Lonchura striata: one gene and its partner. The protein of the gene in region 1 interacts with the protein of each later gene in a biochemical or structural test. Links are inferred from orthologs where the notes say so. Each region holds a gene or a part of one and is shown in the gene's direction. Other genes may lie near its edges. The genes, in order: TOP2A and PIAS4.

Region 1 (8,168 bases):
GCCCCATTCCCCAGCCCTCAGAGTGCTCCAGGGCTGCCCCGGGACTGCCCCAGTCCTAGCACTGAGGGGCCCAGGGAACACAGGGGCTCCACTCCACACTCACCACCCTGTGCCATCTGTCCTCAGGGTGAGAAGGGCGAGCATGGGCTGCCAGGCATGCCAGGGAGCCCTGGCCGGACCGGAGAGCCAGGCTCCCCGGGCATGCCCGGTCCCATGGGGCCACCAGGACCACCAGGGGACTACAGGGTGAGTAGGGCGTCCCGAGCTGTGGGTCCTGGGTGGGGGGAATGCCAGTGTCACCCCACACATCCTCTCTTTGCAGTGCGACTCACGCCACACTGGTCACCGTGGATTGGCTGGGCTGCCAGGTCCCAAGGTGAGCTGGGCACCATGGGCAGGAGTCCTGGGGAGGGGGCATGGGCACAGCACTGGGCATGGCACCCTGGACAAACAGCTCCATGGTGGGTGGTACCCTGGCTGGGAGGCTGGGAGGGCTGGGGACCCCCAGAACTGGGCACTCACAGGATCTGTCACTTCCCTTCCAGGGAGAAAAGGGCGACCCTGGAGAGCCGGTTTGTAGCCACCAGCAGCAGTGTGGGGGGGGGTCCCATCCCCATCCCCACACCTGAGTGTGCCCCCCTGAGCCCTCTGTGCTGCCTTTGCTCCCCCAACACCCTTCACCTACCCCCGGGGCACAGGGTGTGGGAGGAGACACACCATGGCACACACGGGGCACACACGTGCACACCTGTGCCACCCATAAACATCCCCAGCACACCCCAGACCCCCCCCAGACTCAGCACGGACTCTAATCCTGCCTCTCTCTGCGGCTCACCCAGGGGTGCTGCTATGGGGAGCACGGGTGCAAACCAGGGCACCTCCCCTTCCCCAGCACCGGCTCATGGGGGTCCATCAACAGGTACCAGACGGTGAGTGGCCAGGGGAAGGGGTGCCCAGGGACCCCAGCCCAGCCCTGGGGACGTGGTTCACCCCACTGGCAACCCCACGGGACGGGGTTGGAGGAAGGAGAGGGGGAGAATGGAAAATGGAGAGAGAGGGAGGATGGAGATCAATCTCAGTCTTCCTTTGCAGGATGGGAAAGATGAACCAGAGATTTATGGAGCGATCATCCCTCATGTGAGAGTCCCTGCCTGGCCGGGGTCTGCGCTGCCCCAGCCAGGGACATTGAGCCCTGGGAGGGGACAGGAGTGGGAAGCGTGGGGGACATCAATTGGGTGTCAGAGCTGCCCCCCTGAACGGCAGCACCAAAACAGCCAAGTTCAATCTCCACACTGCTCTACCACAGGGTCTTCGAGGTCCCCCTGGGAACCCCGGTCCCCCTGGGCCCCCCGGCCCCCCTGGCCCACCAGGTCTCCTCTACCTCAACGTAAGGCCCAGCACTGGTGTGCACACGCCTGTGCCAGAGCACACACACGTGTGAGTGTGCACAGCACCAGGGCCCCCCCAAACCTGCCTGTCTTTGGTTGCAGAGGATGCACCCCGTGCATGCCCAGCAGCCCTGCAAGCAGCCGGTAAGCCACGGCCTCGCTGCCCCAAGAGTGTCCCCATCTCCTCCCTGTGCATCAGGAGGGGTGTCCCTCTCCCTGTGCCCAGCAGCAGACACAGACTCTGTTTGCCTTCACAGGCACCTGCAGATCGCAGCTGGCCATCAGGTGAGGAGGTTTCCCAGGTGTTTTGGGGGCTGCAGCCTCCCTGGAGACACTTTTCCTAAAGTCTTGCCTCCCTTCCTTGGGTGCCGGGACCGTGCAGCACGGGTCCCTGGCACCACTGCTGGCTCTCCCACCCACTCCCACCGCATCCCTGTGGGGCCAGTTCCCATGGGAGCATCCAGGCCCTATGCTGGGACACCTTGTGACCCCCCACCATCTCTGGGCTCTGCAGATGCTGGTGCCCCTCAGACAGAGCCATCGGACTCCCGCGCTGATCTCCGGGTGCGTCCAGGCTGCGGCCCCAGGCAAACCCCCCCCAGCTGCCCCGTGCCCCACAGCAGGAGCCTCACCCTCTGCCTTCCCCCAGCGCCAGACGTGGGTTTTCAAGTCCAAGGAGCTGATGGTGAAGGCGAGCAGTGCTGTGCCCGAGGGGAGCCTGGTCTATGTGCGGGAAGGGAGCAACGCCTTCCTCCGGACCCCCGCTGGCTGGAGCCGCCTCCTGGTACCGTGTGGGGTCCCTGGCAGGGCTAGGGGGGCAGGATCCAGGGCTGGATTTGGCACTAGGGCAGCAGATCCTCAGGAAGGAGAGGATTTCCCCTAACCTGTCCCTCTGCTTGTGTCATTGAGCAGCTGGAGGATCCGAAGTCGTTCTTGGCTGGTGATGACCCTTCTGCCTCCACCCCGCAGTACCAGGTGAGGGGTGCAGGAGCTGCTGGGTCCACTCATGTCCCTGTAAGGTGACAGAGCCCTTGTCTGCATGATGAAGTGGACAGACCTCACAGGACTGTTTTCTCCTTCTTCTTCCACCTCTCCATCCAGGAGGTGAAGAGGGTGCAGCCAAGAGGTCCCAACACGCTGTCACTCATGCAGTCTCCAACAGACTCACTGGTGAGCCCTGCTGAGGGTCTGGCCATGCTGGGAGGGATGTGCATAGCATGGGCTGGATGTCAGCAGGGCAGTGCCAGCTCAGCATGAGCAGAACATGGGGTTGTGTTGGTCTGGGGAGGGTGCCCCCAAGTCATGGCACATGGATGCGTGTCCCCAGACTGATCTGAGCTGTGTTTTTGCAGATCCAGAAGGAGGAGGAACACGGATTGCCCCAGATTCTGCCAACCACCACAGCCCCACGGATCCCATCTGTAAGGAATGCCTGGCCCCAGGGTGGGGATGAACAGCCAGTCATGGGAGAGGGGGGAGAGGTACCCAGGGGACCCCCAATTCTGGCCAGCACTGCCAGAGGCTCACACCCTCTGAGAAGAGAGGAGCAGAGACCTCCATTCCTCCCTGCCGCCCCCAGCTCCGCCTGGCTGCCCTCAACGTGCCGCTGTGGGGTGACATGAGCGGGATCCGGGGCGCTGACCTGCAGTGCTACCGGCAGTCACAGGAGGCCGGGCTCCACGGCACCTTCCGGGCCTTCCTGTCGGCCCCCAGCCAGCACCTGGTGTCCATCGTCAAGCGGACAGACAGGAGCCTCCCCATTGTCAACCTGAAGGCAGGTACCCCGTCCCCAGGGGTGGCACAGCCTCACAGCCCCCGTGAGCTGCTGTGGGTGGGGGACGCCCACCCAGTCCTGCTGCCGTGCTCAGGGATTTGGGGTGCTGGCAGAGCAGAGAGGATGTCATTGCCCACACAATGCTGGGGACAAGGGGCATTCTCCTGGCCCCTGGCTCAGCACCGTGGCTCGTGCCCACAGGGGCAGCTGCTGGCCAAGTCCTGGAGCTCCCTTTTTGGGGGTCAGTCTGGTGCTGTCCTGCAGAGTCCCATCTACTCCTTCAACGGGCGCAACATCCTGGCAGATCCCCTCTGGTGAGTGTGGACAGGTCCTGGATGGATGGCCCTGTGTGGGAGCTGGAACGGGGGGTCTGTGCTGGCTCCCACCCTGCAGAAGTGCAGGAGCAAAGAGCTGGGGCACCCCAGGGTGCCCCCAGCCCCTCTCACCCTGTCCCCACCCACAGGCCCCACCGGCTAGCCTGGCACGGCTCCACGCCACGGGGTGGCCATGCCCACCGGTGGGATTGCCAGGGCTGGCGCAGCTCTGGCTCAGCCGAGGGCATGGCCACTGCCCTGGGCGAGGGCCGGCTGCTGGCCGGCCACCGCCACAACTGCTCCATACCGCTGGCCGTGCTCTGCATCGAGGTGGCTTTTCCTTACCGGCACATGTGGTGACAATGGTGACACGCAAGCAGGAGCTCCAGGCATTCTTCCAGGCCTGTGTGGCTGGGGAATGTCCCCGGGAGCACCATGGGAGGTGTCGGAGCTGTGTCGGAGCACTGAGGGGACACCGGGTGTGCAACCAGACTGTGCCATGCCCAGCTCCAGCTGCGCCATCCCACAGATCCCCGTGCCATGGGGCAATGTTAGGCTGTGCCTCCAGCCTCCTAAACCCACTGGAGTCAACACGGTCACCACCCAGAAATAAAGATACAAAAATGTTGGTTTTTATGACACCATGCTTTGTTCTGGGGGCACATGGCAGCAAGGGACTGAGGGGACACACCCGGGAATGGGAACAGGGACTGGAAGGGCTGGGAGCAGGCTCTAGTCCCCTGGGGATTGGCAGTAACTGGGAGGGGACACCCTGGCACAGGTCTGCATGTCAGCAAGGTCTGTTTTGGTCTCAGAACACAGTGTGGTCCAGTATATCCCAGCCAAATCTTGCTAAGTGTATTCCTGTGGGTTCCTGAGGCCCTCCCAGTGTATCCCAGTGGGTGTCCAAGGGGTTGGGACATTTTGTCCACTGAAACCCAGTGATTCCAAATGTATCCCAGTGCATGTCCAGGGTCTGCCCAGTATCCCATGTCCAATGGGTCTGTCCAGTGTCCCAGTTCAATAGGTCCCAGTGAATCCCTGGGGCTTGCCCAGTGTGTAGCAGTACCCCAGTGGGTCCACAGGGTCTGTCCAGTGTATTCCAGTGTGTGTCCGGGGGTTCCCAGTGTGTCCCAGTGTATCCCAGTGTATCCCAGTATGTCCCACCACCAACGGCAAACGGGAACCTCCGGCACCCTCCCTGCCGCTTCTCTATTGGTCCATCCTGCTGTCCATCTCATCGCTCTCCCTCCCGACTGGCCGGTTTGAACGCGCGGTGCGGCCTCTGATAGGTCAGAGGGCGGGCAGAGTTCCAGCCGTGTGCCCGTCCCCGCACTGCGATTGGCAGAGCGCCGGGGGCCGCGAGCGGGGATTGGCCGCGCGTTTCGGCGGGACGAGCGGAGGTTTGAAGGGTCGTTGGCGCCGCCATCACCGCCTCAGCCGCTCTGGCCGCCGCCGCCGCCGCCATGGAGCTCTCTCAGCCCTCGTCACCTCTCCGGGTGCGTCCTGCCACCACCGCTGCCCCCGACCCTGCGGAGCTTTGTGATCCGCCTCCATACCGTCCCCTCGAGCCCCCCTCAGCCCCGCCGGGCACCCGCAAGTTCGCCCTGTCCCCCCCTCAGCGTTTCCCCGGGTCCTTCTCAGCCCCCTCCTTGGGTCTCCTTCAGGGTATCCGCAGGCCCCTCTCTCGGCTCTTTTCCCAGCCCTCCCGCTCCTGCGCGATTCCGATGCTCTTCCCCGCCTCGGCCTGGCCCCATGCGTTGTCCCTGTTCGCCCCCTCACCGCCGCTGCCTCTCCCCCACAGCCCGCGAACGAGAACATCCCCGTGGGCAAGGCCGATGGCCCCAAGAAGCTCACGGTGGAGCACATCTACCAGAAGAAGACGCAGCTGGAGCACATCCTGCTCCGGCCAGACACCTACATCGGCTCCGTGGAGCTCGTCACCCAGGTGGGAGCAGGGGGCAGCGGGGCTGAGCCCCCCGAGCACCTCGGGGCAGGCGGGGAGCTCTTAGCAGCTGTTTACAAAGCACAAAACATCTGCTTATCAATCACAAAACAACTGCTTTACAAACTGATGCGCACGGAAGAGGGGTTGTATCTGGGCACTTACAGATTCCTTCTTTTTTTCCCAGCAAATGTGGGTTTTTGATGAAGGCGTTGGCCTCAACTGCAGAGATGTGACCTTTGTGCCTGGCTTGTACAAAATCTTTGATGAGATTCTGGGTAAGCTGACATCCATTGAGTCAGTGAATGACGGGTTATTAACGGATATAAATTAGTAAGAACTTATTAGCACTGCTTAATAGCAAGCCATTCATTTGAAACAAAGAAAAATTTCAAAAATCTAATTACAAACCTGCCCAAAATTCTCCTTTTTATGTCAATGGTTGCACTGAAGGAATTCAGAGGTCATTTCCAACCTTCATAATTCCATGATAACTTGCACTCCTCTTTGTAATTTGCAAAATATTTTCATGCTGAGATGATTATTAGCAACACTGTAGTGACTTTTTATGTTCATTCTACTGGAACACTTCATAATTCATCATTTTCCCTTGATTGAGAATGTAATAAAAAAAAATATTCTCTTTCCTTCCTAGTGAATGCTGCAGACAACAAGCAGAGGGATAAAAACATGTCATGCATTAAAGTCACAATTGATGTGTAAGTTTGGTTTCATTGTTGTTGGTTGCCTTCAGCTGTTCTGCAAAGCTGAGGTGGCACTGCAGGGCTGTGGGGCTGATCTGAGATAGCCCAAATTTAATTCACCAGTTGTGGAAAGCCTTTCTCTGTGCTTATTCCCCTGGTCTCTTACAGAGGCCTGACTGGGGAAATGGCTGCTCTTTCGTTGCTGTGGTTTTCCACCTCTTCCTCTCTCTTTTCACCCTGATTGAGCACAGACAGGGGGGTTTTGTGTGTGGGTCCATTTCAGAGCCGGCATGTGCAGATCTGGGCATTTCTGTGTTGCCTGTCCCCCCTCTGCTGGCAGCTGCTGCACTTGCTGAGCACACATTTGTTCCTGGTGAAATGGTGCCTTTTCCTCAGAGCCTTTTGGTGACTTCTTTCACAGCTCAGCCATTTGCAGCCTTAAAAACAGACTTTTCTTTCCCTCCCCAGAGAGAATAACACAATCAGTGTGTGGAACAATGGGAAAGGTATCCCAGTTGTTGAACACAAAGTGGAGAAGGTCTATGTGCCTGCTATGATCTTTGGACAGCTGCTGACATCCAGCAACTATGATGACAATGAGAAGAAAGTCACAGGTGAGGAAGGCTCTGGTATGCACTAATACCTCTGAGCAGCTCTAAGTGTGTGACCTGAACTAGAAAGGGCAGGAAGGGAGTCCTTAATGCAGTCTGAAAACTGAACAAGGGGAAATTTAGATGAGATATACAGAAGACATTCCTCTCTGTGACGGTGGTGTGGTTCTGGCACAGAGAAGCTGTGGCTGCCCCACTCCTGGAAGTGTCCAAGGCCATGTTGGACAGGGCTTGAAGCAACGTGGGCTAGTGGAATGTGCCCTGCCTACAGCAAATAGTGGGACTGGATGGGCTTTAAGGTTCCTTCCAAACCAAATTATTCTATGATTCTATGAAAATGATGTTCTGAATCTATCAGAGAAGTCTATGTGCTCTGTTTAACATAACAACAGTGCAAACATGGGAACAGGGAAAATGGTCTTTGAATATTCTCTTAAACCCTAATTAAATCAAAGTTTGTAATTGCATACTAAGCTTGTAGAATATTGTTGCTTCTTGACAGTTGTCTTAGAATTGGGTGGACATTGACAAACTCCAGTTAGTCTTGGATTCTCTTAGATGGTTTTGGACAAAGAGAATAACACAAGTCTGTGTTCCTTCTAATTCCAGGGGGGAGAAATGGTTATGGAGCCAAACTGTGCAACATATTCAGCAAAAAATTTACTGTGGAAACTGGATGTCGTGAATACAAAAAGTTGTTCAAGCAGGTAGGAGCACTTTTCTTTCCAGGGAGTTTATAACTGAGGTTTTCAAATGAGATCCTAAGGTTTTGTTTCAAAACTAGTTCAGTGTGATTAGAGTAAATTTGACCCACAAAATGTAATTCAAAGGAATAAAGAAATTAGCAGACAGCATCAGAATCTGGTTTTTAACCAGAGTTTTTGTTTAATTCAAAGATATCTAAACCACATAAACCATCTTACTGCTTTTAAAGACTAAGGTAGTTATGTGTGTGTTTGACTTGAAAGTCACCAAAGTTCCTTTCCTCAGACGTGGACAGACAATATGGGAAAGGCTGGAGAAATGAAGCTGAAATACTTTGATGGAGATGATTACACCTGTGTCACTTTCCAACCTGATCTGTCCAAATTCAAAATGACTGTTCTGGATAAGGACATTGTAGCACTGATGTCTCGAAGAGCCTATGATATTGCTGGATCCACAAAGGATGTCAAAGTTTTCCTGAATGGACAGAGGCTTCCTGTAAGTGAGCATTGAAAAGAAACACAAATATCTGGGGTTTTTTTTTGTGCCAGTTAACCAGTGTGATTCTTTTGAGGCTCTCATCACACAGAGCAAAGGAACACATGCAAGAGAGATTTTTTGCAGGAGAATGTGAATTAAGTATTTATAGGAGCTATTATCAACCAGTTGTCTGCTCTCATCTGCGTGCAGGTGAAAGGATTCCGCAGCTATGTGGACCTCTATCTGA
Region 2 (7,457 bases), on another chromosome or scaffold:
AAGTCGTTCTCAGAGAGCTCATAAAACAGAGAAATGGCTCTGAAAGAAAGCAGAAACTATTAAAATGATGATTGTGCTCAGGATCGTTTTCTCCCTAAAGCTCAGAGATGTTCTGCCCCACAAAACATCCCTGCCCCAGCACTGGAGGTGGCACCCAGTGCTCTGCTCCCGGTTGGAGTTGATGTCCTTGGAGATCTTTTCCAAGCTAGATGCTGGGCTCCAGGATTTCCTGGAGCGTATTCCAGGGAGGTCAGTGTGTGAGATAACAGAAGCACAGGCTACAACCTGTCCTTCCTAAACCATAACATCCTCCAGAATCCCAACCTCCTCCAGCTCCCTACAGTTCTCCAGCACGCATAAAGGGCTCCATTCCCAGATTGTGGATTTAGGCTTTTCCTACTAATCCCAACCGTGTTCTCCACCCCTTTTCTGGCCCCTCAGAGTCCTCACACGCCCTGTGGCAGCACAGCCACCAGGTGCATCCCCAGAGACGCTCCCAAGAGTCTCCACACCGCATCCATGGACATCCAACAATCCTGGTGCTGAACTGGGAGGGTGAAGCTCCTGCTTCCCCAATGCCCAGCAAACAATTGCTCCATGATTGAGCAGAAGCCAGTCAACACTTGCTCCACCATTCAAGACCCTCAGGAACATGACATGAGCTTCTGGACTAGACCAAAGTCCAACAGCACCTCCTGGAGGAGTCCAATCCCCCCTGAGTTCAGCCCAGGCAGCAGCAGGAGTCCGAGGGGAGGGCACTCACGTGGATTTGATGGTGATGCACCGTTCCTGCTCGTCCTTGCGGGTGTCGGTGAACCGGGTCTCCCCGGCCCGCGCTGAGGCGATGATCCCAGCCTTGCACACCAGGGAATCCGTCAGCGTGGACTTGCCGTGGTCCACGTGGGCGATCACCGACATGTTCCTGATGTTGGCCTTTTTATCCATGATGGCCCGTATCTGGTCTACTGTGAAGTTCACCTTGAAGTAGGGGAGGAGGGGGACTCAGCGCGTACAAAAACAGCTTTGGCAGTTCCAAGGAAGCCGACTCTGCCCTAAACACCCGCCACGACCGCGGTGACACCACCTCTGCCCGGGTGACAACACAACCCGCAGCCAGGGCAGCGCAGCGGGGCTGCGGCACCGACCCCTCCCTGCCCCGGTGGCCCTCCAGCCGCGGTGCCAGCGGGCGCAGGGCGCCCCCAGAAGCGAGCCCGGCCCGGCCCGGTGCCGGCCCGGCCCGGTGCCAGCCCGGCCCGGTGCCGGTGCCAGCCCGGCCCGCAGCGTTACATAAGGCACGGCCGGCACCGCAGCGCCCCGAGCCCGGCGCTGCCACATCAGCGCTCCCGAGCCCCGCGGCACAACGGCGGCCCCGGCACCGGCCCCGGCGGTCCCGCCGGTGTCACGGCCGCCCGGACCGGCCCCCTCCCGCCGCCCCACCCTCTCCCCGCAGCCGCGGCCCAGGCCGGCAGCACAGGCCGCAGCCGCCGCCGTGTGACCGGCGGCGCTCGCGGAACTGCCATCCCCGGCGATACGGGGAGCGCGATGGTCGCTAATCCCGCCGGCAGCGGCGGCGGGCGGCGGGGGCTCACCATGGTGGCGGATGGCGGCGGATGCTGCGGGGCGGGGGGGTCACGGCAATGGCGGCGGCTCGGCCCTGTCTCGCTGGCGAGCGCAGAGCGGGCGGAAGAGAGCGCTGACGTCAGCCGGCGCCCTCTTATAGGGCGGCGCCGCCGAGGGGCGGGGCCGGCGCCGAGCGCGTGCGCGGCCGCGCCGCTCTATCCCGCGCGCTCTATGGCCGGGAGGATGTCCCGCCTCGCCGGCACCACGTGGGGGTCACCGGGGCTGCACCGGGACTGCAGCGAGGCGACACCGGGGGAACAGCGACCGGCAGCGGCAGCCCCGCCCCGCCCGGGCTGCAACGGGGGGGGACAGTCCGCCCCTCCCGCTGCCGGTGTAGGAACCGGCTCGGAGCAGTGAGGCCGCCCTCGGAGCGGTATCACCGAGCGGCAGGCGAGCACGGGGGCTCAGCCGCTAGGAGAAGGCGGTAGGGCCGAGCCCGGTGGCAGGCAGCGGTCCGGGATCCCGGTGGGTCCGGGACACCTGTGGGTCCGCCTCGCCCCGCTCCCGCAGGGGGCTCGCAGTGCGCATGCTCCGGGCGGGCCGGTGCCGCAGCGCCCCCTGCGGGCAGGGAGGAGCGCGGCCGCACCGGGATCCGCACCGGGAGCGGCACCGGGATCCGCACCGGGAGCGGCCCCGGGATCCGCACCGGGAGCGGCCCCGGGATCCGCACCGGGAACGGCTCCGGATCCGCACGGGGAGCGGCCCCGGATCCGCACCGGGAGCGGCACCGGGATCCGCACCGGGAGCGGCCCCGGGATCCGCACCGGGAGCGGCACCGGGATCCGCACCGGGAGCGGCCCCGGATCCGCACCGGGAGTGGCACCGGGAGCGGCCCCGCGATCCGCACCGGGAGCGGACAAGGATCCGCACCGGGAGCGGACAAGGATCCGCACCGGGAGCGGCACCGGGAGCGGCACCGGGATCCGCACCGGGAGCGGCACCGGGATCCGCACCGGGAGTGGCACCGGGAGCGGCCCCGGGATCCGCACCGGGAGCGGCCCCGGATCCGCACCGGGAGTGGCACCGGGAGCGGCCCCGCGATCCGCACCGGGAGCGGACAAGGATCCGCACCGGGAGCGGACAAGGATCCGCACCGGGAGTGGCACCGGGATCCGCACCGGGAGCGGCCCCGGCCGGAGCCGCCCGCCGGGTCCGGTGGCACGGGGCCGCAGAGCTCGGGCTCCAGCCGTCCCTGTGCGCCCGCATCGCCTCAGAGCCGACAGAAACGTTGGAATGAACGGCTCGGGTCGGAAGGGACGCGGAGGAACATCCAGCGCCATGGCAGGGACACCTCCCACCATCCCGGGCTGCTCCAGCCTGGCCCTGGGCACTGCCAGCCACGGCTGCTCTGGGAATTCCATCCCAGCCCCTGCCCACCCTCCCAGGCAGGAATTCCATCCCAAAATCCCATCCATCCCTGCCCTCTGGCAGCGGAAGCCGTTCCTTGTATTCCTGTCCTTCCACCCCTTGTCCAAAGTCTCTCTTCCCATATTCCTTGTGGGGTCCCTTCAGGTCCTGAAGGCTGCAATGAGCTCGCCCAAAAACTTCTCTTCTCCAGGCTGGACAATCCCACTTCTCTCACTGGCAGCTCCCAAATTCCCAGCACATTCCCAGGCAGGATGGCCACGGGGCTGCACCCGGGATGGATTGACAGGATGAATTATCGGCCTCTGGGGTTTCCATAGCAATCTGGGGGATTTTTAGCACCAACCCTGATTTTTGCCAGCCTAGAAGGGAAAAGTTGGAAACCTGATGAGCATCCTGCTCTTCCTGAGAAATTGTTAATTGCCTTTTTGATTAATTAGTATGTGGGGTTGATGGCAAGGAGAGGAAAGTGCTGGAAAACCTTTCCCAGCGCAGCGTTTCACCTCAAACACTGAGGTTACCCTGAAATCATCCAGTCCAACTCCTGGCCCTGCACAGACACCCCAACACCCTGTCCCAGAGTGTTTTCCAAAGGCTCCTGGAGCTCCGGCAGGGTTGGGAATGTGCCCGTTCCCTGGGGAGCCTGGGCAGTGCCCACCACCCTCAGAGGCAGAACCTTTCCCTGAGCTCCATCCCAAATCCCCGGCACAGCTCCAGCTGTTCCCTGGCTCGTGTCCCTGCTCCCAGAGCAGAGATGGGAGCTGCCTATCGGGGAAAAGCTGCAAACCACAATGTATTTATTATTATCATTATCATTATTACTATTATTATTGTTATATGGAAGGTATTTTTAATAAGCAATGGGTTCTGTCGCAGAAGGGGCCACAAACACTGACCAGAGAAGGAACCGGGACCCATCCCCATCCCTTCCCCTCTACATCCCCCCAGCACTTCCCTCCTCACCGGGGCCGCCGGCGGAGCCTCGGGCCGAGCCCACCGGGCGCTGCCCTGCCCCGGGGCACCCACCTGGTGCCATCCTGGGGGCAGCACCCACCGCCTGCCCACCCCTTCCCCGTCCCGCAGTGCCCGCGGCACCGCCTCCATCCCCGGTCCCGCCGCCGTTCCCCCCCACCCCCGCCACCCCGCGGTGCTGCCCCGGTTTGCGGTGCGCGGCCCCTTTAAGACTCTCGCGGGGGAGGCGTGGCCTGGCGGGGCGTGGCTCGCGAGGGGGGCGTGGCCGGGGGGGCGCGCGCGGCGATTGGGCGGCGCTCGCGGCCCCGCCCCCTCCCTCCGCCCCGCCCGGCGCGAGGCCGTCACGTGACCCGGCGGCGGCCGGCGCGGCGGACGCTGCAGGCCCAAGATGGCGGCGGAGCTGGTGGAGGCGAAGGTGAGGGAAGCGGCGCCGCCGCCCCGCCCGCGGGGCCCGGCCGCCACCGGGCGGCTCCCGGCGCGGGCACACGGCGTGGGGGCGGTGCTGCGAACCGCGGGGGCGGCGCTCCGGGGCCTCCCCTTCGCCTTTTTTACCTCAGACACTGCCCCGCCCCGGCCTCAGGGCCGCAGCCCCCGCCGGACCTCCCGGCGCCGAACCGGGCCGAAGCGGGCCGCGGCGCTGCCCGCGCTCCTCGGGGCTGCCCCCGCCGTGGCTTTCCCCCCGAATTCCCGCGGGGAAGGCTCGCTGGTGCCGGTGGCGCTCCGGGGGTGGAGCGGCTCGGTGCGGAGCTGTCCGCTGGGACGGGCACTGCCGGGGGCAGCGGCGGCCCCGCGCCCCTCCGGGATGGGGGAAGCGCGGGTGCGCTCGCAGCTGTGCGGTTCGTGCCCTGCAGAGCAGCGGGAGCTTCTCCCGCTGCCCTCGGGATGGCGGCACCGCGGGACCGGGAGAGCGGCCGGTGCCCAGTGCGGTTGGGGAGCCCCGGCCGCGTTCCCGGGCGGTGTTCCCGAGGAAGCGCTCCCCGCCCGCAGGAGCAGCCCCTCGGCAGGGATGGGGCTGGCTGGCCGCAGCAATCCCACCGGGAGCGGCTTTTTTTTGGGGGGGCTCTGCAATTGCAGAGCGGGGAAGGCGCTCCCGGCATCGCGGTGGCCGCAGAGGGTTCTGCGGGCTCTGAGCCGTCCCGCACCGGCGTTCCCGCGAGCAGCAGCGGCCGGGAGCGTCGGGAATCCCGGCGATCCATGTGCTCTCCCTGCTGCCGCGGGGCAGCTCTCGGAGCTCTCTGGGTTTGCTTTGTCTGGGGTTTGTTGTTGTGTCGCTGCTCAAATCTCATCGCACTGCCGGGCCTTCATCCCTTCAAAATGGAAACTCTGCGCTCCGGCTCCGCTTTCCAGGCCAAGACTCCTGGTGAGGTGCTCCAGGAGGAATTCCTGTGCTCCTGGGATGCCCTGGTACCTCCTGCTGCTGTGTCTTGATGAATTTATCTTTCCAAATGCACCTTTTAGCCTCAAATCCCTCAGGGACAAGAAGACTCTCTCCATTTCCTAGCACACTTTAATGATCCTGGTGGGATTTCATCAGCCTTGATGATCTTGGAGGTCTTTTCCAACCTTAATGATCCTGATTCTTTTTTTTTTTTAGTTGAAGAAAACTGAGGCACAAAGTAGATTTCTCCAGGATTTCACAGGTGGTGTCTGGTGGAGCAGCACCATGAATCCAGGGCTCTGAAATTCTCACTTTCTGGCAATTAAACATCTTTTCTCTCCTCTTTAGTCATCAGTCTTTTTTTCCCTTCATCTGGGATATTTTGGGACTCATCACGACTCCCAGAAGTTCTAGCTACAGACAGTGACATAACAGCTTTTGGGTTTTCTGATTAAATGACATATGTAAGGGAAAAGGAGAAAATCAAATGGCATTTTCTCTCTCATTTAATTCCCACACATCCAAAAGTGGCTGTGAAATGTTTCTGGAAACAGTTGTAGCTTTCTTAATTAAAAAAAAAAAAAATCTGTAGCTGGTTTATTCCAGGAAATGATAAGATTGTTAGATTATCTTTTATGCTTTTTTTATTAATTATTAATTCAAGAGTGGGGTAGAGGCTGGGGAACATCTGCTGGATTTTTTTGGTGGAGTTTCTTCTTGAATTCCCATATTCCCCACAAACCAGGAAGGCTGCGGAGTGAATATCTACCAGGTTAATTTGCAGAGCAACTTGAATTTTCTCAGCTGTGTACTTTATAAGCTGTTGTTTTGCAATTCCAAGGCTGTTTGGTGTTTAGGGAGCTGAAATGCCAGCCTGGAGCTGTGGGTTTAATGGGGAGAATTCCTGGTTTCTGATGGGAAGTTGCCTTGTGGCCTTTGACTCTGCTGACAGTTACAGGCCAGACTTGCCCCAGAGAGGGAATTTTGGAAGGCTGAGCTGGGTTTTGCTGCTTATCAGGCACTGAAACTGATAACTGCACCAAGGCAGCTCCTGGCTGGGATCGCAGGGAAGTGCTTGGCATTGCTCTCCTGGGAACACTCTGCTCCCTTCAATAATCGGAATGTCCTTGCATGCTCTAAAATATGTGGGTTTTTACAGATCCTCTGCATGTAGGGAGGATTCTGGAGGGGTTTTCCCATCCAGAAATCCAGAATCGGTGGCCCCAGTTCACCTCAGCCTCGCCTAACTCATTTTGCTTTCCTTCCTGTGCCTTGCACTGACACCATTTGGGATGAAGCTTTCCGTGTTTCTCTGGGAATTCGGGATGCCTCAGGCTGCTGAAGGAGCTCATGAGCTCTTTCACAAGTGAGGCCTCTTGCTTTAGAGCTTTGAGGTCGCTCCTGCTTCCAGCTGGGCTGTCTCGAGGATGTTTAGCATCTGTCCGAGTGATTTTTGAGTCATTTGATGACTGTGCTGGTGGTTTTGTCCTTCAGGTGATATTTCAGTGGGTGATCTCTGCGTTTGCATTGCTCAAACAAGAACTGAGAGCCAAAATTCGGTTGACAGCAGCGGGTTTGGACAGGTTTGGGGTCTTTCTTTGAGGGGAAAATTTTGAATATCTTGCCTTGTAGCTATAAAGTGACAACTAAACCTTTGCCTTTTATAACTATGAGAACATCTTTTAATTTTTTATCCCCCAGAACATGGTGATGAGTTTCCGAGTCTCAGATCTTCAGATGTTGCTGGGTTTTGTTGGCAGGAGTAAAAGCGGACTAAAACACGAGCTAGTGACCCGAGCTTTGCAGCTGGTCCAGTTCGACTGCAGCCCCGAGGTGTTCAAGAAGATCAAGGAGCTCTACGAGACTCGCTACAACAAGAAGGGCTCGGAGGTGGCGCCGCCGCCGGCGCCGCACCGCGCCGAGGCGCTGGCCCTGCACTCGTCCTACGAGCGCGGCGGCGCCGTGCCCCGGCCCCTGCCCGCCGCCAGCATCGACTACCCTGCCCTCTATGGCAAATACCTGAACGGACTGGGCAGGTTGCCCCCCAAAGTGGCCAAGCCTGAGGTTCGCTTGGTCAAGTTGCCCTTTTACACCACGCTGGACGAGCTGCTGAAGCCCACAG

Evidence for each region.
Region 2: of the proteins of TOP2A (region 1) and PIAS4, one has a biochemical effect on the other in vitro, tested with the Homo sapiens proteins (2 studies listed by BioGRID). The link is inferred for Lonchura striata from reciprocal best matches to the Homo sapiens genes TOP2A and PIAS4.

Annotation. Positions count from the first base shown.
Region 1 is NC_134627.1:6,902,685-6,910,852, forward strand, and holds the start of TOP2A (DNA topoisomerase 2-alpha), read left to right. Parts: upstream 1-4,874; 5' UTR 4,875-4,942; coding exon 4,943-4,975; intron 4,976-5,280; coding exon 5,281-5,424; intron 5,425-5,608; coding exon 5,609-5,699; intron 5,700-6,076; coding exon 6,077-6,140; intron 6,141-6,593; coding exon 6,594-6,739; intron 6,740-7,345; coding exon 7,346-7,443; intron 7,444-7,726; coding exon 7,727-7,939; intron 7,940-8,131; coding exon 8,132-8,168. UniProt on the Homo sapiens protein: Key decatenating enzyme that alters DNA topology by binding to two double-stranded DNA molecules, generating a double-stranded break in one of the strands, passing the intact strand through the broken strand, and religating the broken strand.
Region 2 is NC_134630.1:6,828,833-6,836,289, reverse strand, and holds the start of PIAS4 (E3 SUMO-protein ligase PIAS4), read left to right. Parts: upstream 1-4,283; 5' UTR 4,284-4,345; coding exon 4,346-4,372; intron 4,373-7,036; coding exon 7,037-7,457. Other genes in the region: EEF2 (elongation factor 2), read right to left, coding at 1-39, 764-978, 1,590-1,592.